Cricetulus griseus: one gene and its partners. The protein of the gene in region 3 interacts with the protein of the main gene of each other region in a pairwise test. Links are inferred from orthologs where the notes say so. Each region holds a gene or a part of one and is shown on either strand. Other genes may lie near its edges.

Region 1 (4,162 bases), on a different chromosome or scaffold from region 3:
TGGCATCTGTGCAGAGTAGGACTTGGCAAACTTTCCATGGTCTGTGACACATGGACAAGAGCACCAGGTACCAGTAAAACTTCTTAAAAGGCATAGTGAGCTGTTTGGTGCAGGGTGGTAGTTAGCCAGGCCCCTAGTCAGATTTAGCATGACCTTTAAGAGCACACTGTTCCTGTCCAAGCCCTAATGCCACCTCTAGTGCCTGCTGTTCTGTAGCCACAATCTACAAGCTTGTTTTCTCTAAAATGGCTAAGAAGCCTGGTGGCTCAGACTTGTGGTCCTAATTACTTGGCAGGCTGAGCAGGAGGGTTACAAGTTTAAGGCCTGCCTGAATATCTTGTTGAAATCCTGTCTCAAAAGTAAAAGGGCTTCACATCTGCAAGACATCAGGCTCAATCCCCAGTGCCAGTGAAGCCTTAAGGTCAGAGACACAAATGCAAAGAAATTCTTAATGTCTGCCTGAGTTGTCACATTCTGTCCCCACCAAGAGCAATGTAAATTCTAGATGAGAGACCTTTACAGGTAAAGACCACCACCCAAGTCATACGTGAGGCCACCTCATTCCCAGGACTCACAGAACACATAGGAAGTGGTAGTCCCCAACACACTTCTTTATTGAACGTATGGGTGTGAACATCTGATGATAAGACAGACAGAGCCTGTGTTGATCCCCGGTGCGGGGTAGTAACTACCTCTCCTGGAACATGCTGGAGCCCGCTGCTCCTCCAGTGACAGCCCTGCTTTGCTCTCAAAAAGGATCAGTTGTCCATGCTGAGACCCAGCTAGGGTGGCTGCCCTACTGTCCTGAGCTTCTAGCTCCAGGCCACCGGCTGGGGTGGCAATGGGCAAGGACACACGCTCATCCAGAAACACACAAAGCTTCATTCTACATGGCCAACTAGACCCCAAAGGTAGCTAGGCCGGCTTTAGTCTTCTTTGCTCCGTGTTCCTGGTGGACATCCACAGCAGGGAGGAGATGGCACAAGAAGCCTGCCTTTTTGTCTAGACAGTACAGAAGCAATAGTGGGGTCTCTGCACTGCTCACTTCCTACTCATGGAGGTGCTTCCGCTCAACACCCTCCCTCTGCTTGGCTGAGCCTGAGGGAAGGCATGGCCCCTCATTAGCCTGGCCCATGCCTAGTCTACTGCAGCCCGGACTTCATCCTGCAGTAGTTACTGTAGGCTTCCTCAAACATGGTCTTGCAGGGGAAGCGGGCCTTCAGCTTGGAGCAGATGAGGAAAGAGCCGCCCATCTTACGGTGTAGGGAGTAGGTCTCCTCTGGTGGAGGGATGAGGCGGTGCTTCAGCATGACGGGGATCAGGTTATGGATCTTCTCAGTGGTGCTCTGGGTGCCAAAGTCAAAAGGCTCTTCTGAAGCAAAGGCTTCCCCCAGGATGAGGATGGCATCCAGATGGGCATCCTCCATGGCCTACATTGAGACGAAGGGCAGAGGTGAGCGGGTCACAAGGCTGCAGCCCCAGATCCCACCACAGTTTCTAATCTTAGAAACAACTGCTCAGGTCTGGAGGGCATGAAAGAAGCAGTGACAGGATGGTTTTGGTTTTAATCAAACAATGGTATTAGGTACAACTCCAACCCTCAAAAGCCAGGCAGACACAGTGCAGAGGCCTTCGCTCCCTCAGCATTCACTCCTGTCTTTACAAAGTTAAACTACAGATCCCACTCTTGTGAGGAGTGCTGTGGGAGCCTCCCCAGTTCCCAGCACACAGCAGTAGTCACCTGCCAGATACAAGAGAAGTAACTGTCACCAGCAGAGCACTGGAGGGACAAGGGGCACCCACGGGGGGACAAATGAAGCCAGCTGCACGCAGGAGGCAGGAGGTCAGCTTGGTGTGCACACCCATGCTAGCAGCCAGTGTGAACCCAGGTCAGCTCCCTGCTAGGTGCTAGGTGAAGAGGCTCTAAAGGCCTGGGGTACTCTGCCCACCCAAGCAAGCCACCCCCTGCCTCCTTGCCACCAGGATGGGCAGGTGGCACCAAGTGGTATACCCTAAGCCAAACCGTCTGCTCCACTCTACACCCTTCCTACAGAGTGCTGAGTTTTCACTATGCTGGGCATAAGGAGGGCTCCAAGAGCAGCTGGTACTTAGGTACCAAGGGAAGACAGCCATGCCTACAGAGAGAGAGCTGAGCCTGGGTGGTTCACTTACCTTGACCTCATAGCCAGTGAGGAATTTCATCTCTATGGACTTCTTCAGCACTGCCTCCCTGTCCTGGTCAGCAGCAGCCCGGATGACCTGGAGAGAACAGAGAGGCTCCTGCCCTATCACAACCCTCTTGTATGCCTGCCAACCCTTGAACTGGGATCCACAGCCAGCTAGGTGGACCTGACAGGCTTTGGCCAGCTCCAGGAGGCTCTCCCACACTTTCAATCCCCAGAATTGGCTCTTGGCCTCTGAAATACACTGGTCTTACCTGGATGTAGAGGTCAGTGAAGGATCTGTCATATTCCCGAGTTGCCCCAAAGTCCAGGAGAGCCACCTGCAGATGGAGATACAACACTGAGGTTCTGCCCTATGCTTCTTGTGAGCATAGAGCAGCCAGGAGGACCACCGCAGAGTCTCAGCTCGAAAGTCTCTGCTGAGACCTTCATATGGGGTTCAGCTGGGGCTTACCTTGTGCTGCTGAGGGTCATAAAAAAAATTGGACCAGTTGGGGTCAGTCTGCATGACATGGAACTCAAACAGCTCCCTTAGGCACAGCACCAAAATGTTGTAGCAGATCTGAGGACAGGGTAGGAACCTGGGTCAGGCAGCTTGTGACCTCCAAAGTCTTTGCCCATCCCAAAAGAAGGATGCAGTCAGTCATCACCCCCTTGTCCCACCTCCCCAGGAAGGGCTTAGGGTCTGTTCACACCATTTAGGTACCCAGCACAACAGCTCAGCACAGCTTGAGGGTACCTCATTCCGGACTTCCTGGCTCAACCCTTCTGCCTGGTCCAGGGGGAAGCCTGTTATTAGCTCGGTGGTCAGCACATGGGGACTGCATAGCTCATCCACAATCTCAGGCACATAGAAGAAGGGGTGATCCTTCAGAAGCTCCCTGTGTGAAGAGGGGGCTCACATCCAGTCTGGACCCTCCACAGCCCCCCAAATGGAGAGTCCTCTGGGGGAAACCTACTCTGCAGTTGGGAGGATGTGGCTACCACCTGGCCCAGGGCCATCCAGCCTTAGAAACAGAGGAGCCTGCCCACTCTGGTGCCCCTCAGCCTCCTGAGGACCCCTAAGAGCCACACCTGAACTTCTTGGCATAGGCAGCTTCCCGTTGGTAGTCACACTCAAGGACAAGCTCCCTCCTCAGCACATCAATCAGGTGCTCAGGGAACAGGCCTATGCCAGAAAGGGGCATCAGGTGGGATGAGGGCTCTGCAGGGCTTTCCCCTGCATTCCCATAACCCCACCCGTCCATCTCGGGCCTGCAGCCCAGCCTGACCTTCTGGAAGCATGTTACTCATGTTCAGCACAGCCATGAGGTTGTTGACATCGCTGTTAATGCTCTGGGCCACACCAGGGTACTGAGAAGAGGGAAGGGGGGTAACTAGGGAGGCAGCAGGGCAGGCTGTCCTGCCTATTAGCGTCCCAGCAACTTGTAGCCAAGACTAAAACAAGGGTGCCATGACCTGACCATCTCACCACCCTGCTCTCCATGTCTCCTTACTCTAACCACACAAAAAAAGCCCCAGGTTCCAGCATAGGCCCCAAAGGCCATCCTACACCAAGACTGCTGGGAAACAGCCCCAACCCCCAACCCCTCACCTAGCAAACACTTGCCCAGCGCCAGGTGCTAAGAACAGAAAGATGGTATCTCAGGAGAAATGGGAAAGGCCCCACCCTCTGAAATCCCATGAGGGCAGGCACACACCACACAGGGCCATCTACCTGGATCTTCATGGCCACTTCACGGCCACCCTTCATGCGGGCCAGGTGCACCTGCCCTATGGAGGCAGCTGCAAAGGGCCGCTCCTCAAAGTACTCTAGCTTGTCCCTCCAGTGGGGGCCCAGGTCATTGTTGAGGGTTTTCTGGAAAGAGGCCAGGGAAGACAGGTGCACAGCCTGGTTATCTGGGGTACCCTGATATGCACCCAGCTTGCCGCCACATCTTGGTCCTTAGATCCCAGGGTCAAGCTATTTCCCCCACCTC
Region 2 (4,154 bases), on a different chromosome or scaffold from region 3:
TCCAGCTCTGGACTTCACTTCCTATCCCCCTACCCTCGGATGCCCTCACCGCGAGTCCAATCAGCCATCTCGCCCTCCAGAGCCCCACTCTGGGACACCGCAGCACAGCGACGGACGTGGCACCGGCTCCTGGAAGAGGCTTCCGGTTCCGCCTCAGGTATAATAACTTCCGGGAGAAGGGACTGGAGCGGAAGAAACAAAAATGAAGTTGTTCCATGGAATGTAAATAAGGGAAGGGCGGGCCGCCTGCGTTCGTGCCCGCGGATTGGCCAGCAATAGTAGTCCCGAGATGTGGGTGGTACCCGGAGCATGAGCTCGGGCACAAACCGGGAGCTGAGGCTGGAAACCGGCTCGGTAAAGCTGCCGGATGCCTCGGGCGCTGCGGAAGCCCGAGTGTGAGAACTACAAGATGCGGAGGACGGACAGAACTGAAGGAGACTGGCGAAGGAGACGCCAGGGCCTGACACCGAGCAGGCGCAGGGCACGCGCCGGTTAGCTCAGCGGGTGGCAGATCATCCGCTGGAGCATGGCTTGTGTGTCACCGCGAGGTACACTCTCACCGACCATGCCTCCAGCCACGCGGAGTGCGGACCCGGCTCCCCAGCCACCCACCCTCTACCCAGCGTTGGAACGCCTCTCACACTGACGGGCCGCGGCTGGCCGCCCCTCCATTGCCCCTCCCATGGGAGTGGCTTTCTCCGGGTGGTTTTCGCTTCCCTCTGACCCTTCCTCATACACTGGGACTTTCTTTTTCCTTTGATGGCCACATTGTTTTTGATGGTTCGGTCTTTCGTTTGTTTTAAGGACGGTCTCACTATGTATCCCTGTCTGGCCTAGAACTCACAGATCTGCCTGCTTCTGCTTCTCGGGTGCTGGGATAAAGGCGTGCGCCACCTCGCCGAGCTATCCGCTTTATTTTGACCACCCGAGTCGTTGTGTTTGTCTTTCCCGCGGAGCATGAGCTTCAGGGTCTGGACCGTGGGGCTCCAGCTGACTAAGCGACCAGAAGATAGTGCTCCCTTCATCTCTCTCCCTGTTCCCTGACCGGTGCGTAAGGAGGGCGGTCCATGCGGGGGCCGAGACCCCACCTCCACGCCCCACGCCTGCTAGAGAGGAGGGAGAAAAGGGGGGCGAGGGGATGCTACTTGGCTAGCTAGCGCCGCTGTTCCAAGACGAGCCGCTCGGCGATCGCGGCCAGGTGGGCTCCACCTTAAACCGGAGGCCCGCCCCACGCCTGTGCACACCCTTTCTGCTCGGCTGTGCTCCCGGCATCCCTCACGCGTGGACTCGGGGCTTCCGGACCTGGGCGGAGCCCGCGGGTTTGGCCGATTGCGTCTTCCCAGCCCAAGCCTTCCAGCACCCGGTGCCAGGGGCCATGGAGCCCCGGGCAGTTGCGGATGCTTTGGAGACGGGAGAGGAAGACACAGTGACAGAAGCTCTGCAGTCGTTCAACCGGGAGGTGAGAGGCACCCGGCTGCTGAGGAAATTTCTTGGAGAGAGGAAGCAGTGGTGTGCGCGCAGCGCGGCCGGGGTGTGCGTGCGAGTGTGGCAGGGAGCACGGCCTTGGGAGGCGGGCTGGGCCTCGGGGGTTTCAGTGGTGGGGCAGGTGTAGGGGAAGCGAGGGTGGTGGGCCCTGCCTTGCGTTCAGAGCAATGGCTGCTGCCTCAGAGGTAAAAGCAGACCGGCTGCCCTGACTCGAGGAGCACAGGTCCTACCTGCGCGTGGACTTGAGCCTACTGGGTCTCCTCCCTGCAGCACTCCCAGAGCTTCACCTTCGATGATGCCCAACAGGAGGACAGGAAGGTAGGTGCCATCCCAAGGGGCTCCTAGGGCAGGCATGGGCTGCCCCAAGAAGAGGGACTGGTGGATCCACTTTTGTCCCTCCCCACAGAGACTCGCAAAGCTGCTGGTCTCCTTACTGGAGCAGGGCTTGTCACCGTCACACCGTGTCACCTGGCTGCAGACTATCCGAATCCTAACCCGAGACCGCAGCTGCCTGGACTCATTTGCCAGCCGCCAGAGCCTCCATGCACTAGCCTGCTATGCTGACATCACCATCTCAGAGGAGCCCATCCCACAGCCCCCAGACATGGATGTCTTACTCGAGTCTCTCAAATGCCTGTGCAATCTCGTGCTCAGCAGCCCCGCAGCGCAGATGCTAGCAGCAGAGGCTCGCCTGGTGGTGAGGCTAGTGGAGCGTGTGGGACTGTACCGCAAAAGGAGCTATCCCCACGAAGTCCAGTTCTTTGACCTGAGGCTCCTTTTCCTGCTAACTGCCCTTCGCACTGATGTGCGCCAGCAACTGTTTCAGGAGCTGCACGGTGTGCGCCTGCTGACTGAGGCGCTGGAACTGACGCTGGGGGTGGGCCCCAAAGAAAAACCCCCGGTGGTACTTCCGGCCCAAGAGACAGAGCGGGCCATGGAGATCCTCAAAGTGCTCTTTAACATCACCTTTGACTCTGTCAAGAGGGAGGTGGATGAGGTAAGTTGTAGCCTGAAGTCATGGGTGGGACTCAGCTCAGCTGGGACAGTTTTGTGGTTTTGCTTCCTTCCTGCCTCAACTTCCTGGGTGCCAGACATGGCAAGGATAATGGGACATCAAGGCAGGGAATCCAAGGAAGGTTTCTGAGCTGTGTTGTGGGGGTGTGTTTGTGGGAAGGCTTTAGGTGGCCAAAGGTCACCAACTGTGCTGTGGACAAAGCCAAGTGATCAGCTCCATGTGGCCCTGGAGCACTGGAACAGGGGACTCCTCCTTACAGGAGCCATTTTCTGTCTTTGGTTAGGAAGATGCTGCCCTTTACCGGTACCTGGGGACCCTTCTGCGGCACTGTGTGATGGTTGCTGCTGCTGGAGACCGCACAGAGGAGTTCCACGGGTAAGGGGCAGGACTTACCGTGTGTTGACAGTGGGGAGAGTACTTAGGCATGGGTACCCTAGTCCTCAGCCCTAGGTGTCAGTAGAAGCACCAGGTCCCACCGTAAGAGTATGACTGTCAGAGGGATGGGAAACCAGAGTGTTCCCAGAGAGCCCCAGGAACTCAGAATATGACTAGGGGAAGAGCTAAGGTGGAAACAATGGTGGCCCTGGCATTGTAAGGCAATGGTGTTCCTGCTGGTGGTGACCAATAAGTACCTCACCTGACTTGGTATCTCAGCTCAGACAGAATGGGACAGGCAGAAGTTTGTCTCCCCACCAAACTTGAATGGAGTACTACCTGCCCTTGCCTCTAGTCCTCGGTGCTGTCCTCAGTCCCCCATATCATGTATACCCCAGGAGAGGAGCCGGGGATTACTTCTGTGCTAGAGTTACTCTGTCAAGGCCTCTGTCTGTCCCCAGCCACACGGTGAATCTCCTGGGAAACTTGCCCCTCAAATGTTTGGATGTCCTTCTCGCCCTGGAGCTACACGAAGGATCCTTAGAGTTTATGGGAGTCAATATGGAAGTGATCAGTGCCCTTCTTGCCTTCCTAGAGAAGCGTCTGCACCAGGTAGGTGGAGGACCTGCTATGTTGTGGCTTCCATTTCTGCACCAGGGAGAGAGGTCAGCTTGAAGGTATAACTTGGACAGTTTCTCTGGTTGCTCTGTGGCCCCACCAGAGATAGCTATTCAGTCAGACCCTCTCCGAAGCTTGTGGATACAGCTTGTGTGTGGACCTCAATGCTGCTGATTCCCAAAGAAAAGCAGGCTTCTCAGGGTCTGCCAAGGTGAATGTTGTCTTTTAGGTCTCTGCAGTTCCCTGTTAAGTGATTCTCAGAAGCCTTTGGTTCCTGCTTCCCTAATGTTCCCATACATTGGCAGCCATAGGTGACAGCATTAGTTGTCCTGCATCTTTTGTTTTTTGTTTTTTATTTTTTATTTTGGTTTTTCAAGACAGGTTTTCTCTGTGTAGCCCTGGCTGTCGTGGAACTCACTCTGCAGATCAGGCTGACCTCAAACTCAGAGATCAGCCTGTCTCTGCCTCCCAAGTACTAGGATTAAAGGAATGACCCCAACCCCCACCTCCACCCCCACCCCCGTTGTCCCTCTGCATCTTAAGGAGACATAACCAAGGGTTACCTGACACCTACAGTTATAATATGGGACCAGAGAGCTGGTGATCTAGCCTATCCTGTGGAGCTCACACAGATGAAAGCCATAGATAGAGGTTCATTAGA
Region 3 (3,625 bases):
AGCCTGTCCCGGAACTCACCCATAGTGTCAGTACTAATGTATCCAGTGTGCCAGGAGAAAAAGAAAAACCTGTGTTGTCTTACATTTATGAGTAGAACCCCTTAGGTGGGCCACAATGCTGCCTGGCAGTTATATATTAGGTCTAGGCAATTCATTTCTGGTCTCTTGGTGATTATTTTATATCCTGTCATTTACCTTCAAAATGTCAGTTCTGCACCCGGCTGACAGACTGATGAAGAGGACTAACAATGAGGAGAGTGGCCCTCACTCTCTTACTATCGACGCTGCCTGTATTTGAGGGTAATCCCTTTTCAGGTTCGCTCAATTGAGACTTGGAGATTTCCCTAGTCATTCTTCCCTTCGCCCAGCATCTTTATCATCGCATGGCCCACAAACCCACTGTTGTTTCTAAATTTAAACAAACTGCAGATCTTCCTCTCTCCTCTGGCTGCTGCCGTTCTGTTCTTAACACAAGAACTACTTGGAAATCGACCTCAACTTGCTGTCACAAATTCCTTTCAGTCTCTCATGTAACAAATAAGCTCCACCCACTGTTCAACCAGCTGTCTCACAGATTTAACACTCTGTGACAAGATGAAGACTCTGCCCTCCTCTAAGTCACCACCTCGGCACAATGCCCTGACACACCCTCATCAAAAGGAAGCTCTGCAAGGTGATGCCCACCTTTCTAAGAACTTCAACATTTGAAGCAACACCAATCACTGTAGTCAATTAAAAGATGACTGACTTTGTGCGGACACCTGTTTCCTTCTGTGAGCACTGAGCACTCACAGTGTCCATCGTGTGTAGTGGTGAGGACTATAAAGTCTATGAATAACACGTATAAGGGGTATGGAAAAGATCTGAGTATAGCTTAAGTCCTTCAGAAGTAACACATGTTATCCAGCTACTACTGACAACAATCCTATTACAACATGGCTCTACTCTCCAGAAATAGCTTTTGGGTTGGTTAGTGTGACATGGATGCTTTGTTATTTATTATTGTTAAGGTCTGCACGTAAGATAAAGTGTTTTACTATGTAGACCAGTTTAGCCTACTGCCTGAGCCTCTGAGTGCTGGGATTTCAGACATATAGCATGACATCGAACCTGTCTTGAAATAAACGAAAGGGTTATTAACATTTCTCCCACTCCTGTCACTGGTCCTTAGCAGTCATACAATTCTTGGCAGAGAGGCAGAGTGGGCAGCCTTCACCAGAACAGCGCAGGTTTTACTTTGTATGGTGCTTCACCTAGAGTACCAGCGATAAAACTTTGTTTGAATGGCCAAGTGCCAAGGACTTCGTGGCTTTAAGAGAATGAAATATGAATGGCTAACAAGCACGACTCATGTGCTGGCCTTCCAGAGTGTCACCACACAGTGCCAAGGCTTACACTGTTCTGTCCTTGGATATGCACACCACTAACAAAACACTAAGAATGCACAATGCAAACTAGGCAGGCTACCAGATCTAAAAATAATAGGCTACAGTTTATTTTGAAGATCTAAAATTAGCTTTGTGATGTTACCTAACTTTGGTGTAGGCCTAAATCTGAAGGATAAATTTGCAGAATAAACACTGTAGTGACTCTTTTTAAATGCCAAACTTCTTTTTATGGTTTACTTTTAAGGCCATTCATGGTGCAACTCCGTTAACTCCTCCAGTCTTGCATACAACTCCTTTCTCCACTAAAAAGTATGCTCTCACTAGAATGAAGTACTGTCAATTAACCAACTTGCTGCTTCCCTTTCCTTGGTCTCCTGGTTTATAACATCCACCTTTGCCTTGGGCTTCCTCTAGATGACTTCCACTAAAATAACTCCACCTGGGAAACTTGTAGCTGGGCCGTAACTGGTGTCCTCACAACACCCTGCTCCATCTATGTGTCACATGGCTTGTCTACCCATGGCTAGTACTCAGAATTCATACTATTTCCAACATTACCTTACAATGAGAGCTCCATCAAGGCAAGTATCCTAGCTTGTTTTGTTTGCTGATGTAACTCAAGAACATATTTGGGGACTATGGCAGGTATTATATGAATATTTGATAATTAAATGACTCAAGTACAGACTTTATATACTATTTTGCTTTAAAGTACATTACTGTACTCGAAATAATTATGTAAGGGACTTGAGGTCTTCAGACTATTCCAAAATTAACAAATTAATGAATCAGCTTACCTTTAAGGTAACAAAGCATTAACGTAGCTGTTTCTTTCTTCTTCAGCCAAAAGCAAAACATATTCAATAGTAAAAGAAAAGTTAAGCCTCAAATGTACCTATCATTTTCTTTATATGGCACTAAAAACAATTCTCCTAATTACCTTCTCATCTCTGGTAACAGATTTGTGCTAGGAAAGCTAAAAATGTAACCTCTGAAGTCTGATAATTAAAAAAAGGAATTGTGTACAAGCTAACAAGTCCTTAACTCTTTCAATTCTCACTCTCGCTACTGGCTCATGTATAAAAATCTTTCAGTTTTTAATTAAATATCTTTATTTTTCTGTGGTGTGTGCACGTGTGTATGTGATGGCGGGCACCTTGAGGTCAGAGGACACTTTTCAGATGCTAGCTCCGTCCATCATGTGGGTCCTGGGACTTGAACTCAGGCCATTAGGCCTGGCAGCAGGAACCTTTACTCAGTGGGCCAGGCCACCAGCCTCACATGAAAAATCTGAACTTATTAAAAAATTGTGTCTTTTTTTGTTACTGTGCAAAGTCATGAGCTTTACCCCATCATTTTCATGTGTGTGTCTGCTTTGTTTTTCTTCATTTCTCTTCTCCAATGCCCTCCCTGGTGTTCCTGGCCCAGGAAGCATGGCTTCTCTTGTTTCTTTCCAGCATCTTGTTGTCACAGTGCTGGGATCTACTAGGTCCTCGTGCTTGTGTGCCTAGTGCTTCCCCACAGAGGCTCCTTTCCAGTCTCCACTCTCCCCATCATGACTTTCATTTAGGAAAAGGAAATTGCTACCTTCCCAGTTGTTTTTGGAGGTCTAACATGTACTGGTAACACTGTGCATAGTAAGTCATCTGGGCTTCTACAAAGTCATTCAGACAGCGGAGATGATGGGCCTGGAATGGAAAAGTTGCAGTCAGTTCTCAGAAGTTCTTCAAGTGGCGCAAGCTAAGGCAGAACACAGGATAACACTGCTGTGAAGGAGGTAACCTGTAGTATCCTACTGTAAAGCTTATTAATGCTCATATTCTGATCAGGCTCATCAAAACTAATTACTGGTGAATAATAAACTGACAAACTTTGTTTATCAAGAAGAGCCAACATGTGGATTTATGAAATGGGAAAAAAAAGGAGTGATGAAATGTAAGAGAAAATTTAAGTATTTCTTCAGATCCCTTCTAAAATCTCACACTTGAAACTTTCCTTGACTGACAACTGACCCAAGGAGCTCTCTTTAAAGGCAGTGTCTGTATGCAGCTCAGGGTGCCTTTAACTTCACAAATTCCTCCCTAGCTGCCTAAGTGCTGTCTCAGCGTCTTTTCTTGAGGATGATTTAATACTCACGTGGGTACTGCTGATTCCCTCCAGCAGAAGTCGGGTAATCTCTGCCTGACGATCAAATTCACTTTGAGTTATTCGTAATTCCTGTTCAGACTTAAGTTAGA
Region 4 (4,279 bases), on a different chromosome or scaffold from region 3:
TCTCTCTGTAACCCAGGACCTTGCCAATGCTGTACAAGCCCCCTACAACTGTGCTACAGCCCCAGCTCTGTCATTTGCGTATGAATCTTATTTATTTCCTTTCGTCTATTCCTCTCTTTTGCCAAAATATAGCTAGAGAGGGTGACACCCTGTGTCTGTCTTGCACACCACATTGTCATAGAGATCTAGAGCAGTGCCAGTTACACAGCAGGTGTTCAGTGCACGGGCATTGATCCCAGTGGCTGTGGCCTCAAAGGTGTGAGCTCTGCAAAGGTCATGGAAAGGATTGCTCAGACCCACCCTCACCCTGCCCCTGCCTCATCCCAGACCTCAGGATACCAGGGCAGAGGCACACCTGAAGGGGTACTCAAATTCAACTTCGATGTTGAGGGCACTCTCCGTCTTGTTGGCACACTCGACGCTCAGCCGAAGCTCTCCGTTGTAGCTGCCACATGTAGCAAAGGCGAAGATGGCAAAGACCTTGGGTAGCAGGAAGGTGGATGGCTGTAGTGAGCCTGTATGCATGTGGGAGGGAGTGCCCTCCTCTGGACAGATTGAGGGGGGCAGCAGAGACAGCAGCAGATGGAGAGGTTCCCACCCCCACTCCCCTAATCAGGGCTCACCGGGTCCTAGCACAAGCTGATTACAGGGGTGTGGCTGTTTCTCTTTCCCCGTGTCTCTGTTTTTACCTCTAGGTGTTATGGCTTCTCCTCCCCTCTCCCTCTTCTCTCCCCCTTCTTTTTCACTCCTCTCCTCTCCCTTTCCTCCTCTTCTGTCACTCACTGTATCTCTGTCTTTTGCACCTCCCTCTCTCAGTATCTCTCTGTTTCTATGCATGTCCCTCCATCATCTTTTTTTTTTAAACTCTCTGAGTATATGCCTCTGCACTCTTGTTTCTTGGTCTGCTTGTCTGTTCTGCCTCTCACAAGGGCTCTATGGTTCTCTGTCTCCCTTGTGCCTATTTCTGTGCGTTGCTTTCTGTTTTTTTCTTTTGGGTGTCTCTTTATCTGTGTATGTCTTTCTGTCCCCTACCACATTTTCCTGCTTCACACCCAGTTCTCTGGCTCTCGTTTCTCAGCATTTCCATCACTGTCTCTACCATTCCCTGCCTCTCATTCTCTGTTTCCTTCACTGTCTGCATTTTTCTGCTTTGCATCTCCCCCTCCCTCTCTGTCTCTGTCTCTCTCCCTCTTTCTCTCTCAGCAGTCGCTTCAGGCTCCACTTCCCACCCCCCCATCCTTTACTTCAAGAGAAGAGGTAGGACGTCACAATCTGTCACTCCACAACAGGGGTACCCTCGGTCTTATGTGACGTCATAGCCTATCTGTTCCCTGTCCTTAAACCCCTGGGACCTTACTCTGCAGCCTAATTCCCTCATCTCCTTCCACTGTAGTCCTTTTCTGGCTTCCTGTCCCTCCTACATCCGTGCTCTTCTGGACCCCATTGTCACCCCCTCTACTTTCATTTCCCCACCCCACACCCCACACCCCAGACCACACTCACCCACTGCAGCACCTTCACGAAGCCAAGGGGCTCCTTGACCACCCGGAACTGACCCCCAGCCACCAGCTGAGGAGAAAAACAGCAGGGAGGGGGAAGGGTTGTGGGGAATAGAGATGGAGGTGAGGGGTCAGGCTGCCAGGCAATGATCCCTGGGGATAGGGCATGTGACTCCTGGGAGTGGGCGACATGTGGAGAGGGAGTGAGGAGGAGAAAATGATACTTTGGGGAAAGGAGTAAACACCAGGGTCTCAGAGAAACCCCCAGGGTTCAGGAGTGGTGAAGTGTGAGGTGATGAGTCACATGACAGAGGAGGCTGGGTATAGAAAATAGATGGGGTCCAGACTAGTTAGAGAAGGGAGGTCTGAACTGCTTAAAGGTGACTCAGATAGGGAAAAAGGTTGAGTGGAAGAAGATGGGGTTCATTAGAGTGGGGGAGGGGGCATTGAGAGATGAGGGTGAGTCACAACATCATAGGGAAGAGGTCTGCAGCGGTAAAGGTGAGTCAGATGATGGTGGTTGTGTCTAAGGAGATGCGGGTGGGGAGGGGTCGCTACTGGTTAGGGAGGAGACAGATTCTGAGGTGATGAAGAAGAGGGCGATGGCGGAGATGGTCCGGAATGATTAAGGTGGGAGAGAGCTGGGGCATGGATTCATTGGATATGCGCTGGGAATGAGAAGGCTGGGGGCTTTGGAGAGGCAAAATTGGATCGTCCCTCTAGATCTGCTCCCGAGGAAAGGGTGGTCATCTACCGGGGTGAAATCTCTGGGAGGGGCGGGTGCCATCCCTCCCCCACCCCGCCCCCACACCTTCTGTCGCTCTATTTCCTAGCTCATCTGCAGCCCCCCCCCCACCGCCCAAGTCTTCTTTTCATTCTCCCTTCCCCTGCCCCTTTGCCCTCTTCCTAGACCCAAGCTCCGGTCTTTCTCTCCGCCAGGTCAACAGTTCTTGTGGGCTCTGGCGGCCCCCTCTGCGGCAGTGAGGACAGTCCTCGATGCGGCAAAGAGCGCATTCCTTTTCTCCACCTTCCCCCCTCCCCTAGCCTGCAGCAAAATCCCCAACCCCAGCCCCAGTGACCATATCTCGACTACTCTGGTCACCACCTTTCAGGGTTGTAGGGCTAAAGCCACCCGGATTTCCCGCAAGCGCCGGGCTCTGTCCACGGTGCTGGAGCGCGTACCTGATTCACCACGTCCATGTCTGCCAGCAGCAGCATCAGCAATGCAGGGGGCGGAAGGTGCCTGCTAGCAAGGGCGGGCGCGGGGCGCGGCGGGGGCGGCGCGCGATCGTTGGAACAGCCCAGTCGGCGGCAGCCCCGCCCCTCGCATCCTGTATCTTTTTCGTGTGAGCGCCTGCGCACCACGGCACCCCCTCCCCAAGCTTGCCTGCGGCCATTCCACCCTTAAGTCTGGAGTCTGTAAATCTTAAGAGTGCAGGGTCCTTTCAGAAGGTAGCCGTCTGGGGATGGAGGACCTCTCATTTCTACGATACTTTGCCAAGCCGGGTGCTGTGTTGGTTACGTGTGTTCCCTCATTTAATCCCTATATAGCAGTGACTATTAGTCCTGTTTTTACAGATGAGGAAAATGAGTCCCCAGGGAGATTAAGTGACTTGCACAAGGTCACACAACTAGTAATCGGCAGTGCTCAGAGTCTCTGCAGTTTAAACGTCTCCACAGTTTAAAAGACAGTTGAAGGATTCCTTTTGGAAAATTTGCTTTTTAAGGCACATCCCCAAACTCTAGCCACCTCAATTTTTCTCTTCTTCTTGGTCAAATTATTGCCTAATCTAACTCTGTATTTCACCTTCTGTTTATTCCTTGGCCCCCTCTTTCAATACATTTATCGATTTTGTGTTAGCCTTCTTTTTTTTTAAAACTACATTTATTTAGTATGGAGAAAGGGATGGAGGGAGGGAAGGAAGGGGGCACTATAGTATAGGTGTGGAGATGAAAGGACAACTTGCCAGAGTAGGTTCTGTCTTTTCACTATGTGGGTCCTCCATGTCTTAATGGACTACCCTCTTTCATGATACTAAAACTAGGTCCATCAAGGTCGGTGATGATTGCCATATTACAAAATCCAAGGGATAAAATATAGTTGAGGTTAAGATGGTCAACCCCACATTAAGAAATGCATATAAAAAGCACTAAGATACTAAGTGCTAACCTATGAGTGCATCATCTTACACAGGTAATAAAAGATAATGGATAACTGTCAGCAGCGGGAAAGAACACCACTTTATACCCTCTGTATGCTTGAATTCCAAAACTTTTGAATGAATGTCAGTTATTTAATTTTGAGATAGTTCATATAGCCCAGGTTGGCCTTGAACTTCATGAGCAGCTGAGGATGACTTTAAATTCCTTTATCCTATTTCCTCTGCTTCCCAGATTCTGGAATTATAGGCATGTACCATTATGCTATCCCTGACTCTTTTTTTTTTTGTTGTTGTTGTTTGTTTTGTTTTTTCCAGACAGAGTTTCTCTGTGTAACAGTCCTGGTCATCAATCTGTAGACCAGGATGGCCTTGAATTCAGAGATCCTCCTGCCTGAGCCTCCCAAGTACTAGGATTAAAGACGTGTACCACCACAGCTAGGCTAGCTCTAGCTTTTATACTTTTGTTTTGTTTTGTTTTTGTTTTTCGAGACAGGGTTTCTCTGTGTAGCTTTGGAGCCTGTCCTGGAACTCACAGAGATCTGCCTGCCTCTGCAAATCCCAGCACTATTCAGTGCTGGAATTAAAGGTGTGCACCACCATGCCTGGCCCCTACATTTA
Region 5 (3,625 bases), on a different chromosome or scaffold from region 3:
GCATATAGGGGGCCCTGAGTTAGAACCCCAGCATAAAAAAATAAAAATTAAAAATACAGTTGACGTGAGAGGCTATGACTACTACAAGAAGTGACCAGCAAACATCTTTACATAGGTTGTAATGAGACTTTTTTCTTTTAAATAACTTATTTTTATTTTATGTGTGTTGATGTTTTGCCTGCATATATATCTGTGTGAGGATGCCAGATCTGTTGGACCTGGAGTTACAGACAGCTGTGAGCTGCCATGTGGGTGCTGGGAATTGAACTCAGATCCTCTGGAATAGCAGTGAGCGCTCTTAACCACTGAGCTATCTCTCCAGCCCATAATGAGACTTTCTTAGAGGTTTTCACTTACAGAAACACTATCTTAAAAATAGTACCCACAATGGCAGCTGTTCTGCTTTTATCTGGCATCAGCACCCCAGCTTCTGGAAAACTCTACCACCATTCTAGTCAGTAGTTCTCTAGGACTGTAAACCCACTTTTCCCATTTCCCTTAAGCCTCAGGAGCTTAAGGGAAGTGAGCTCTCCATAAGACTGGACATGAGTTTTAGGACACAAGTCTCTTTTCCAATGGGTTCTGGGCCTGGCTTAGATATAGCAACTGAATCTGCTAGAAGTGAGGACCCACTGAGGAATCCCCTGTACAGTAAAAAAAAAGGAAGCAGAATTGACAGAGGGACAGAGACTTAGGGGACAGAGAAGCTTTCTAATGGCAACTGTTGTTCCAGAGGTCAACTCCAAGCCTTGGTGAGAGCTAGTTACTCAACAGAAGAGTAATATTCATTCTCATTCATTCTCCACGCCCCTCTTCTCTCACCCCCCCACCAAATTTGGAGACAGGTTGCTTTGTGTACCCCTGACCTTCAGAACTCAATCTGTAGACCAGGCTGGCCTCGAACTCAGAGATCCACCTGCCTCTACCTCCTGAGTGCAGGGATTAAAGGCATGTAACACTACCGCCCACTTGTCCTTTGTTCTTATGGCAAACTAAAAGACTGGGGGGACATTTTTTGAGACAGAGGTTCTCTGTGTAACTCAATTTGTAGACCAGGCTCACCTCAAACTCACAGAGATCAGAGAAGAGATCCCAAATGCTGGGATTAAAGGAATGTGCTACTCCTGCCTGGCTAACAAAGATTCTTGATAATTTTGAAGGGTTCCCACTATGGAATATTTCCCCAATAGTTTTAGTCATAGTAAAATAGCTACACTGAAAAATAATTTCTTCTCAGTCAGGCCAAGTGGTACAGTACTACAGTCCCAGGAGACAATTGCTTGACCCTATATGGGGTGAAATCCCTAATCATAAAGATAAAAAAAAAAGAGCACTGGGCAGTGGTGGCTCATGCTTTTAATCCCAGCACTCCAGAGGTAGAGGCAGGCGGATCTCTGTGAATTCGAGACCAGCCTGGTCTACAAGAGCTAGTTCCAGGAAAGCCTCCAAAGCCACAGAGAAACCCTGTCTCTAAAAAACAAAAAACAAAACAAAAAAGAGTGGATGGTGGTTGAGCACACCTTTAATCCCAGTGCTCAGGAGACAGAGGCTGTCAGATCTCTGAATTTGAGGCCAACCTAGGGAGTAAGTTCCAGTACAGCCAGAGCTGTTAAACAGAAAACTTTGTCTTGGGAAGAAGGAAGGAAGGAAGGAAAGAAGGAAGGAAGGAAGGAAGGAAGGAAGGAAGGAAGGAAGGAAGGAAGGAAAAAAAAAGTAAACATGGTGCCACTTGCCTGTGATCCTAGCACTTGGAAGAGGCAGGAGAACTATGAATTAGAGGCCAACCTAAAACAAACTAAAGCACACATTATTGTGCAGACATCCTCTTCATGGGGCACCTAGTATTTCCAGACAGAGTGGTGAGATGAGATCAGGCCCTGCCTTCAACAGGTGATTCAAGTCTACACTTTACAAATAGGCACATGAAAAGAGATAGCCCAGTAGACACAGAATGCAGGTAACACCCCAGCAACAGCTCTGTCACAGGGTTAAGCCATGTTCTACTCTCTGCATAACCCAAAGGGTCTCATCATCACACCAGAATAGGAAATAAAACCAAGGCACCTTAGCAAGCTCAGCCCGTAGCTCTTCTTCCTCCACCTCTGTCAGGCCCTCTACAGCTTGAGCTCGGGAGGCCACACCTGGGCCAACAGGGACATCAGTCATGAAATCAGACAGCACACCTTTGTTAGGAGAATTCAGGTTGATATCTGTCAGAGACAAAAATGAAGTCAAAAAGTGTCAAGTAAGTTGTTACTCTACTAGGGAAGAAGCAAGAATGAAAGAAATTGGTGGCCAAAAGAAGGCAGGAGAACACTAGAAATTAGAAATATCTCTAAAAGCCTATGATAATGAGCTGGGCATTGGACGGAGAACAGCTACTTCTTGAGCACCTGAGATGCAAACTCAATACCACCTGTGCTGCTAGAGTACAAGAAACACCAGTGAAGGCAGCCAAACCACAGGTTCTGGTTTCCCTTGTGAAAATATTATCTTCTACAGCAGGAAGCCCTACTTCAAAGAAACCAATCCAATCTAATAAAGTTTCTATTTTGGGTTTTTTGGGTTTTTTTTTTTGTTTTGTTTTGTTTTGTTTTTTGCATGAAGGAAGTAAATATAGCAAGTGTTACTTTCCATTCAACTCAAGGAATGCTAAAGATTACATACATGGAATACATGTTAGTCATCCAGCCCCAGTAATGAATCAGCAAAACAAAAATCACCTTTAATCCCATCCCTGATCCTCTCACAGACAGATGGCCATATATACAAAGAGAGGAAGGAGTGCATTCTTTCACACACCTAGCATACTAGACACACTTCAAGTTCCTGGAGTCACCATTTTTTCTTGACATTAGGCACATCCTCCTATCTGCACGATTATCTCAAAAGATACCACATAAAGCAAACCATTCTTACCAGGCATGGTGGTTCACATCTTTAATACCAGCACTCAGGAGGCAGAGGCAGGCAGACATCTGTGAGTTCAACACCAGCTTGGTTAAAAGCATAGAACAGAAAGAAAAACATCTTAATCACATATAAGTTTGTCAACTGCACAAATTCTAAAATCTTCTAAATACACATTGAAAACACTAGAAAACAAGATGTTCTGCTCAACAGTAGGTGACAACATTTTTTTACAGACTTTTTTTTTTTTTCAAGTTTTAGTGTGTAGCCCTGGCTATCCTGGAACTCGGTAGACCAGATTGGTCTCAGAGATCTGCCTCTGCCGCCCTAGTGCTGGGTTTAAAGGAGTGTGACACCACACCTAACTGTATTTTTTTTTTTTTTTAAAGAATCTGACTTTGACTTTTGCTTCTTTCATGCAAGTCTGTAGGGCATTTTCTTGATTGAAATTTATTTATTTATGGGGCAGGAGAGATTGTTCAGTAGCTAAGAGCTCTTGCTGCTCTTCCAGAAGACCTTAATTCAATTACCAGCACCCACACAGTAGCTCACAACCACCTGTCACTTCAGTTCCCAGGAGTCCAATGTCCTCTTCTGACCTCCACTGGCACCAAGCACACAAGGTACACAGACATACATGCAGACAAAACACAAACATAAAATAAAAAAAGAAAAACTAAAATAAAAGATTTACTTATTTGTGCCGGGTGTTGGT
Region 6 (3,625 bases), on a different chromosome or scaffold from region 3:
AGAGAAGGACGAGTGAAGAGCACAGGGGTCCAGACCAGGCTGGTGAAACCCACAGAAACAGTTGACCTGAACATCCGGGAACTCTTGCTCCCCAGACTAAAAGCTGGAATACCAGCATGGGACTGATCCAGACCCCAGGAAAATGGGTTTCTGTGAGGAAACCTAAGAAATCTACGGAACCTCCTGTAGTTCAGTACTTATCCCTAGCATAGGTGTGGACTTTTGGAGCCCATTCCACATAGAGGAATACTCCCTGAGCCAAGACACATGGGGGTGGGCCTAGGCCCTATCCCAAAGGATACAATAGACACTGATGACCCCCCATGGAAGGCCTCACCATCCTGTGGGAGCAGAAAGGATATGTGATAGATAGGGTTTTAGTTTGTGGGGGGCGGTAGGGGAGGACAGGTGGGAGAAGAGAACTGGGATTGTCATGTAAAACAATCCTGTTTCTAATTCAAATAAAAAAAGTTGGAAAAAAAATAGAGAAATAGATGAAAGATTAAAAAAAAAAAACCTACACTGATCTGCTATTGCACAAAAGTAGCCATACAAAATATGAAATGTAATGAACCTGTGTATGTTCTAACCAAACCTTATTTATGAATACTAAAAGTTGAACTTACTGCATTTTCAAGTGGCATAAAATTTTCAGCCATTTAAAGACATCTGTTGGTCATAGGCCATACAAAACTTGATGCCAAGTGGCATTCAGCTCCCAGGCTGGATTATCAGAGTGTATTACAGCAACCAGAAGCCACGAGGCCCTACAGATGTCTAGTAAACATTGCAACAGCTGCATTAGTCACTTTAACAGCATCAAGCATTTGACAGTATCCGCAAACCTGGGCTGCTAGAGTTCACTGCAAACTAGAGCTACAGGAAGGGGTGAAACTACGCACTCAGTACCCAAAGCCTTCTTATACTGCACACAAGGGAACTGCATTTGCCCAGCAGTGTCTTTGACTTTTGTTCTTCAAGGTATATTTGGTTTCCAAGGGTGTCTCAGCCTTCTCTTGGCCCATGTGCAAGCTAAAGCAAGATTATTAGAACTTACAGTGCTTGGAAAACACACTTCTGGAGGCAGCATCAGCTCACTTCCTGCACATCCTCGTGGTCCTTTGACTACTAACTCATTTCTCAGACTATTTACCTGGCTGCTCTTTGCCCTTTTGTGTTCATTAACACCTTTATCTTTTCAAACTGATTTTAAAGACAAACAAAAGGGTAGTTTAAGAGGTAGGAGCTACTCAGATTAAAAAACTATTTTCCTCTGGTTAGAACTACAGCTTCAATGCGACATTTAGCATTTCCCCAACACACTATTTTGTCTTGTTCTATGCTTAATGCAGCAGTTCACTTTGCTGAGTCATCGCCAAAGTCAGACTTGTGCCTGAAGCTGAAAGCTGCAGTGTGCGGGACACAAAGGCTCTTCATTGCTTTTGGAGGACACACTTCTTACACCGACCTAGGGCAGAAAGGACGGCACTAGCTGAGCAGGAAAGGACCCCTTCTAGAGGAAGAAATTCAATTCCTGGGAAAGCAGAACTTTTCTGCAATCCAGTTCCCAGCCCTGAGCTCCCAGGGTGGAAGTGCAAAACTGCACAGGACACAAACATCCGTCTCAACTGAAACCACTTCTAGAATTACCTTTTGTAGCAACAAGAAGCCCAGAGAGACACAACCAAGCCACTACTCTGCTCATAGAAACCGCAGTTCAGAACCACATCAATCTACTGATTTATAAATACTGCTATAAGTGGGGCTGGTGAGGTGGCTCGGAGCAGATACTGCATTTTCAGAGGACCTGAGTTCAATTCCACATACCACGAGGCTCACAACTGCCTCTAACTCCAGTTCCAGATAGATCCATACCCCTGGCCTTCATAGGTACCTGTAAAGCACACAACACACACACACACACACAAAATAAATAAATAAAAATAAAATCTTAAAGACAAAAAAAAAGCTAGTGTAAATCACTATAAAGGTTAATTTTGTCAACTCGACCAAACATGGAAGCAAACCTATATTTAGTTAACTGGGGTGGGAAGACACAATCTACGTGTGGGTAGCACCATCCTGTCAACTGGGGTCCGAAACTGAATGAAAGATGAAGATGAACCGGGCTCTTGAATCATCTTTCTGTTTCCTGACTGAGGCCATAAGAGGACCAGCTGCCTGGGGTTCCTACCACCGGGCCCTCCCCTCCTAGATGGACTGACCCCTCACACTGTGAGCCAAAATAAACCTCTCCTGCCTCAGGTTGCTTTTGTCAAGTATTTTGTCACAGTGATGAAAAAGTGGCTAGCACAATCATTATGGCAGAATCAATCCCCTCCATGTTTAATAGATATGTGGACTCCAGCAAGCAAATCCTGTCAGAGAAATAAACAATACTCAAGATCTAAACTGAATAAGATGTAAAAATGTTTGCCCAGGATCTGTATTATATACCTTGACTTTTAACTATGCAGTAAACTATAGCTCCTGGATAGGGGCTGACTCAATTTAGCACACCATTAAAGAGAAAATAAAATGTGTATTAAAGCAGTTTTGCGTCAGTGAGGGCTGAGTCATCCCTGGGCTGAATCACTGCTGACGGCTAAGTCATCACGGGGGCTGACTGAATCGTGCCTCTGGGTTCTGATGATCTAGTTCCCAAGTTTAAAGGATGGCTTGCAAGCAGGTTGAAGCAAATGATTGAGAGAAAATGCTTCAAGCCTAAAACATTCATTATGGAAAGAAACATAAAGCTTACCACCCACATATGAGCCAACTACTTTTGCCCAGAGACTGTGGGCTGCTATCCTTACTCAGGGGATGTGGTGATGGTTGTAGTATCTCCATAGGCAGGGTCATGCAAATATCTGTGATGTAACTGGCATTCAGGACTGAACTCAGAGGTTATTCCAAAGACAACTTTATCTGCAATGCCCCATGTATAATATAGATGGAATCTTAAACACATTCTACGTTTAAGCACTGCAGTATGACCCAAGAAAAAGCAAGAAAGGAATCCTCCAGGCTGCAAAGATGGCTCAGCAGTTAGGACCTCAAAGTCAGTTCCCGGTACCCATGCCAGGTAGCTCACCAACACCTGTAATTCAGATGCCCTTTTCTGGAGTCTGCAGGCACCTGAAGTCTCTTATGGCCATAACACTCAAACACACACACACACACACACACACACAAACAAGCAAACATGTAAGAGAAATAAAATAAATCTTTGAAAGAAAGGAAGGAAGAGATCCTTGATAGCACTGGCCAGTGAGAAGAGACAAGGGCATTTCTTGCTCACCGCTCCAGCTTTCCTCCTGGTGGTGCCCAGGCAACAGAATCCAACATCATGACCTTGAAAGGCAGAAGCGTAGTCATCCAGCTTCTCAAAGTCCACCACTTCTTGATTCTAGACAAAGGAGGGCACAGTGGCATGTAATTCCATACATATAAGAAAGAGACAAAACACCCTTCAAGATGTACAGAATAAATGACAAATGATTATGGAAGGGTCTAAATTCATAACATGAAATACACCAAATCCCTTTTTCCACAAAACAAACAAACAAACAAAAAAACCTGGAGTTGGATATCAAACTCAGTGGCCAAGTACTCACAAGGTACA
Region 7 (4,259 bases), on a different chromosome or scaffold from region 3:
AGTCCTTATTGCTGATTTCACAAAGACAGGAAATATTTAAGATGGTAAACTGGGGAAATGATTGAAATTCTAGACAATATTCCCACATTCTTACAGGCTTATCTTTGATCTCCTAAGAATTGGTGGCTAAAGCCTATTGTGGTGCTGTTTTCTTCTTCCTCTTGTTGTCTGATATCACATTCTTCCCCTAGATGCAGCACAATTCTTTTTGTATTACAGCTCAGAAGAAAACTAGTTATTATGCAATATATATTCAGGCATTTGAGTTAGGCTCAAGGATAGCCACTGAGAGCTCCCCTTTTGGAACCAATTTCCCATTGCTATTACTAACCTTAAAACTATGTTTTTGCTGGGGATCTGAGAATGCTGAGTTTGTCCTACTACATTACAGAAGGCAATTTCTCAACTGCCAGGGCTGAGGGGAGAAGATAGGCACTAAATGGCAGAATAAAGGTTGGTACCAATAAGTGGACATAAATAAATTCCTGCCCAGAAAATCAACCAGAGTAAAAACCCGGTTTATTGGCTCCAAGAAAAGGAGCAATAGTGCCCAGCTTTCAGGCTCAATCTTTCTGTACAAATTTCGACAAGCCCAAGGTTCATAGAGGAGCCCATCCAAGCACCTTCTCTCCTGGGGCAGGCGATGGCTAGCTGCCTGATGGCGAGTCTCTGGGTTGTTCTGCAGTAACACCTGGCACGGCCGAGGCAGCCTCGTAGTCCGCGATGCGGCGCTGGACAAGGGCGGGCATGAGGTGGACGTAAGCGGCCATGAGGCGGTGGTTAGAATGGATGAGCTTCCCAGCACAGCTGTGTAGACAGGCCTCCTGGAAGGAAGACAGAGGTAAGCAGAGACCAAAAGGGGTCCTGTCAAGCCCTCCTCTCCGGGGCCCCAGCCTAGGGGTGAGGTCATGGGAGACCGAGATGCAAACGGGGGGTGGGAGGTGGACACGTCACGTTGTCAACCTCTGGGGTCCCCACAGTCCCCACCTCCTCAGCGTCCAGAGCTCGGTGGTGCAGGCTGGGCACACAGCGCTGGAAGCACAGTTCTGTCATCCGATTGTAGACCAACAGGAAATCTCGCAACTAAGAGAAAAGCGGATCAAGGCTTCACCACCGCTGAGGGTTCCTGGCGTGCGCAGTGCAGCCTGCCTTCCCCACTGGGGGTTCTTGCATGTACCCCAGAAAACAAACCGCACGTCTAACCCCGAGAACAACTTAGCTCTTACTCACGTTTCTTAGTTGCTGCTGCTGCTGCTCCATCACGCTCGGGGCACGCAGCCCACTTTACTTCCTCCCTGGGGGCGCGGAGTCACCCCGGAAGTAAATTCTCCCTAGTCACCAAGAGCTTCAAGGCGTGGTTCCAGTATCGCCCAGCCCATGTCTGCTAACGTCACCTCCGCCCTTTTGCTCTGCGACGTGGCCGGCTTCTTCTGCCCAGAGGGCACGTCACTTCCGCCGAATCTCTGACCTGCTGCTAAGATCGCGACGGGAACTGGAACCCGAGGTCCCCGCGCGGTCCGGCCCTCGCGCCCTGAGGGGAAGAGTGGCCCGGCCCAGGTGAGAAGGACATACTTGTACGAAAGGAAGTTGAATGCACGAACCTGTGCGGAGGGCAAGATGCCCTGAGCCCTTGGCAAGGATGAGGACACACCTGATGCCCAGGTGTGTGGGGGGGTGGTGGAGGGGACCTCTCACATCTGGAAGGCATAAACTGACTTTGGAAGGGACTGCCTGTGTCCTGGGAAAGAAGCTTTTAACTGACACCGGGAACACACCAGCTGCTTCAACTAAGGCCTGGTGGGGAGGGCCTGAGGGAGGCAGGTGCATGAGATGGAGAAAGGAGAGACCATTTGAAGGAAGAGGGGAAGGAACATCAAAGGATTTGAAAGACCAGGGATTGCAGAGCATGCTTGAGTGGCAAGTGAGCATCCGAGTCTAGGAAAGGGTTTTGCCTTCTGGTAAACATGCCTATGCAGGGCCAAGTTCCCAAAGAGCACAGACATTCCCCTCTGGCCCTCACTGCTGTAATCCCATTGCCTCAGTATCTGACGCATAGTAGGCACTCACTAAGTGTTTGTTGAGTGACTGAATGTGTAAAGGTTACTAAAGGTGAGGTTGGGGTTTGTGAGAAGACACCCAAGGCTTTGGTATACATGCATCTGTAGAAATAATGTACTTGGAAGAGAAGAAATACACATCTCCAGGAAAGTAGGGGCTGATCTCCAGGGACACCCAAGTCCTAACAGACAACCCCTGAAACCTATTAGAACACAGGGAAGGCCTCCTTGTTCTGGAGTGCTGGCCAGTTTCCAGAATTGTCTGTGTTGGGCTTTACAGCGTGCTGGGGTGGAGACCTTGACTCCAGTACCTTCCCTAGCCATGACGGACGGGATCCTAGGGAAGGCAGCCACAATGGAGATCCCAATCCATGGAAATGGTGAAGCTGGGCAGCTTCCTGAAGACGATGGGCTGGAGCAGGTGCTTCTGTTTGATTCTTCTAATTGTTTCAATTTAGCAATCCTGACTCTTGAATGTTTCGCTTTTCCCATCCCAATAGACTTCATTTAGTTAGTCCTCCTTATAGTTTTCAAGTCGTCATTATGATTCTATACAGACTTTACTATATACTGTCTCTATCCCCAAAATATTTCAGCCACCCCCATGTTCCTGAAGTGCCCCCTCTTCTCTGATCTATAGGACCTCCAGCAGGTGATGGTGTCAGGACCCAACCTCAATGAAACTAGCATTGTGTCTGGTGGCTATGGGGGCTCTGGTGATGGACTCATCCCCACAGGTATGAATGATAAGAGACAGGAGGCTTGAGTGGGAGGGAGACTAGGAGGCACATAGAACACATAGGAAAGCGTGAATCATGGATTGGAGAAACTTGAGAACTGCTAGTGTGAAATCCATAGACTGTCCAATCCCAGATCAGCTCTCTGAGCTCATCATCTGCTTCCCACTTGCCATTTAGATTCTAGCTTTCTCAATTGTCTTTTCTTTCCCTGGTGCCACCACCTGAGCCAAGTTAAGACCTATAAGTCACAAGAGCTCTGCAGCTTAAGGCTGATTTACAACTTTGTGAAGCTTCTCAGAGTTTTATAAGAGTCTTATACTGACTAAAATTCTACTTGGAAATACAAACCAGCTTCCCTGTTTTCTGTGCCCACCAGCTTTGACCCTTCCAGTCCCACTCATCATGTTTGCTTCTGTTTCTTCCTTCCCTGTCCACCCAACAACACTCCTACACGACCCCAGGAATGCCAAATACATACATTGAGTTGCTTTGGTTTTCGGGACCTAAGTCCCCGTTCCCCCTAATGAGCAGAAGAATTCAGTTATCTAGATTTCCTCTTTTAGAGAGGTCATTTCATGTGCTGGGAGGGAAGGAAGTGAGGTCACAGAAGTATCTGATTGTATGTGAGAGAAATTGGTGTTAGAGAACTTGATCCTTTAGGGTCTGGCCGCCATCCATCTCACAGCACCTCACCTTCTGGCCCTGGTGATGAGGTGGCCCGGGGCATCGCCGGAGAGAAGTTTGACATCGTCAAGAAATGGGGCATCAACACATATAAGGTAAGAGTCGAGTGCCTCTTCCCAGAAACTCTCCATGGGTACCTTTTCCTTTTCCCCAGATCTTAATACATAGTCTTTTGCTATGACTAAGAGAATGGGGGTGTTGGAGTAGTTACTTGTCGGGGTTGGGGTGGAGTTTAGATTTCTGACCTCCCACCCACTTCCCAATCAGTGCACAAAGCAGCTGTTATCAGAGAGATTTGGCCGAGGCTCCCGGACTGTGGATCTGGAGCTAGAGCTGCAGATTGAGTTGCTGCGTGAGACGAAGCGCAAGTATGAAAGTGTCCTTCAGCTGGGCCGGGCACTGACAGCCCACCTCTACAGCCTGTTGCAGACCCAGCATGCACTAGGGGATGCCTTTGCTGACCTCAGCCAGAAGTCCCCAGAGCTTCAGGTGCCTCAGCCAAAACAAAGAGGGTGGGGGTACTGGGCCCTGGCCCTTCCAGGCAGGCATTCCTCAGCCTCCCTCCCTCCCTCCTGCAGCCCCCAGGGAGAACCCCTCTGGGGTGTGCCCAGTCCTGCCCCCAGCATCACTCACCTATGGAGGCAGCCTAAGGGTTTGTACAGAGGTCCAAAAGTTGGAGGGGTTGTGGGAGAGGGCGCTCTGGTGCCTCACAAGTAACCCTTCTCCATATCATCAAGAATGCCTTTGGTGCTTGGCCTAATCAGAGTCCCTCCCCTGC

The links.
Region 1: the proteins of Sh3glb1 (region 3) and Coq8a interact in binary tests that used the Homo sapiens proteins (3 or more experiments, as listed by UniProt). The link is inferred for Cricetulus griseus from reciprocal best matches to the Homo sapiens genes SH3GLB1 and COQ8A.
Region 2: the proteins of Sh3glb1 (region 3) and Ric8a interact in binary tests that used the Homo sapiens proteins (3 or more experiments, as listed by UniProt). The link is inferred for Cricetulus griseus from reciprocal best matches to the Homo sapiens genes SH3GLB1 and RIC8A.
Region 4: the proteins of Sh3glb1 (region 3) and Syp interact in binary tests that used the Homo sapiens proteins (3 or more experiments, as listed by UniProt). The link is inferred for Cricetulus griseus from reciprocal best matches to the Homo sapiens genes SH3GLB1 and SYP.
Region 5: the proteins of Sh3glb1 (region 3) and Tpd52l2 interact in binary tests that used the Homo sapiens proteins (3 or more experiments, as listed by UniProt). The two-hybrid records come from large-scale screens. The link is inferred for Cricetulus griseus from reciprocal best matches to the Homo sapiens genes SH3GLB1 and TPD52L2.
Region 6: the proteins of Sh3glb1 (region 3) and Htatip2 interact in binary tests that used the Homo sapiens proteins (3 or more experiments, as listed by UniProt). The link is inferred for Cricetulus griseus from reciprocal best matches to the Homo sapiens genes SH3GLB1 and HTATIP2.
Region 7: the proteins of Sh3glb1 (region 3) and Arfip2 interact in binary tests that used the Homo sapiens proteins (3 or more experiments, as listed by UniProt). The link is inferred for Cricetulus griseus from reciprocal best matches to the Homo sapiens genes SH3GLB1 and ARFIP2.

The regions. Positions count from the first base shown.
Region 1 is NC_048598.1:14,081,222-14,085,383, reverse strand, and holds the end of Coq8a (atypical kinase COQ8A, mitochondrial), read right to left. Parts: intron 4,042-4,162; coding exon 3,901-4,041; intron 3,537-3,900; coding exon 3,455-3,536; intron 3,352-3,454; coding exon 3,258-3,351; intron 3,065-3,257; coding exon 2,923-3,064; intron 2,746-2,922; coding exon 2,638-2,745; intron 2,504-2,637; coding exon 2,438-2,503; intron 2,260-2,437; coding exon 2,173-2,259; intron 1,431-2,172; coding exon 1,143-1,430; 3' UTR 591-1,142; downstream 1-590. UniProt on the Homo sapiens protein: Atypical kinase involved in the biosynthesis of coenzyme Q, also named ubiquinone, an essential lipid-soluble electron transporter for aerobic cellular respiration.
Region 2 is NC_048596.1:60,341,376-60,345,529, reverse strand, and holds the start of Ric8a (synembryn-A), read left to right. Parts: upstream 1-1,322; 5' UTR 1,323-1,375; coding exon 1,376-1,459; intron 1,460-1,755; coding exon 1,756-1,803; intron 1,804-1,891; coding exon 1,892-2,482; intron 2,483-2,783; coding exon 2,784-2,875; intron 2,876-3,336; coding exon 3,337-3,487; intron 3,488-4,154. Other genes in the region: Bet1l (BET1-like protein), read right to left, coding at 50-311.
Region 3 is NW_023276806.1:14,444,298-14,447,922, reverse strand, and holds part of Sh3glb1 (endophilin-B1), read right to left. Parts: intron 3,615-3,625; coding exon 3,525-3,614; intron 3,077-3,524; coding exon 2,976-3,076; intron 1-2,975. UniProt on the Homo sapiens protein: May be required for normal outer mitochondrial membrane dynamics. Required for coatomer-mediated retrograde transport in certain cells. May recruit other proteins to membranes with high curvature. May promote membrane fusion.
Region 4 is NC_048604.1:114,106,533-114,110,811, reverse strand, and holds the start of Syp (synaptophysin), read right to left. Parts: upstream 2,897-4,279; coding exon 2,887-2,896; intron 2,831-2,886; coding exon 2,682-2,830; intron 1,753-2,681; coding exon 1,504-1,752; intron 481-1,503; coding exon 356-480; intron 1-355.
Region 5 is NC_048599.1:395,713-399,337, forward strand, and holds part of Tpd52l2 (tumor protein D54), read right to left. Parts: intron 2,211-3,625; coding exon 2,065-2,210; intron 1-2,064.
Region 6 is NC_048596.1:146,801,772-146,805,396, reverse strand, and holds part of Htatip2 (oxidoreductase HTATIP2), read right to left. Parts: intron 3,410-3,625; coding exon 3,302-3,409; intron 1-3,301. UniProt on the Homo sapiens protein: Represses translation by preventing reactivation of elongation factor eEF1A. May also inhibit nuclear import by competing with nuclear import substrates for binding to a subset of nuclear transport receptors.
Region 7 is NC_048596.1:94,063,193-94,067,451, forward strand, and holds the start of Arfip2 (arfaptin-2), read left to right. Parts: upstream 1-1,407; 5' UTR 1,408-1,557; exon of another isoform or gene 1,558-1,662; intron 1,663-2,337; 5' UTR 2,338-2,379; coding exon 2,380-2,478; intron 2,479-2,697; coding exon 2,698-2,794; intron 2,795-3,457; coding exon 3,458-3,576; intron 3,577-3,748; coding exon 3,749-3,970; intron 3,971-4,259. Other genes in the region: Timm10b (mitochondrial import inner membrane translocase subunit Tim10 B), read right to left, coding at 648-824, 988-1,083, 1,231-1,260. UniProt on the Homo sapiens protein: Plays a role in constitutive metalloproteinase (MMP) secretion from the trans Golgi network. May have important functions during vesicle biogenesis at certain cargo subdomains, which could be predominantly utilized by secreted MMPs, such as MMP7 and MMP2.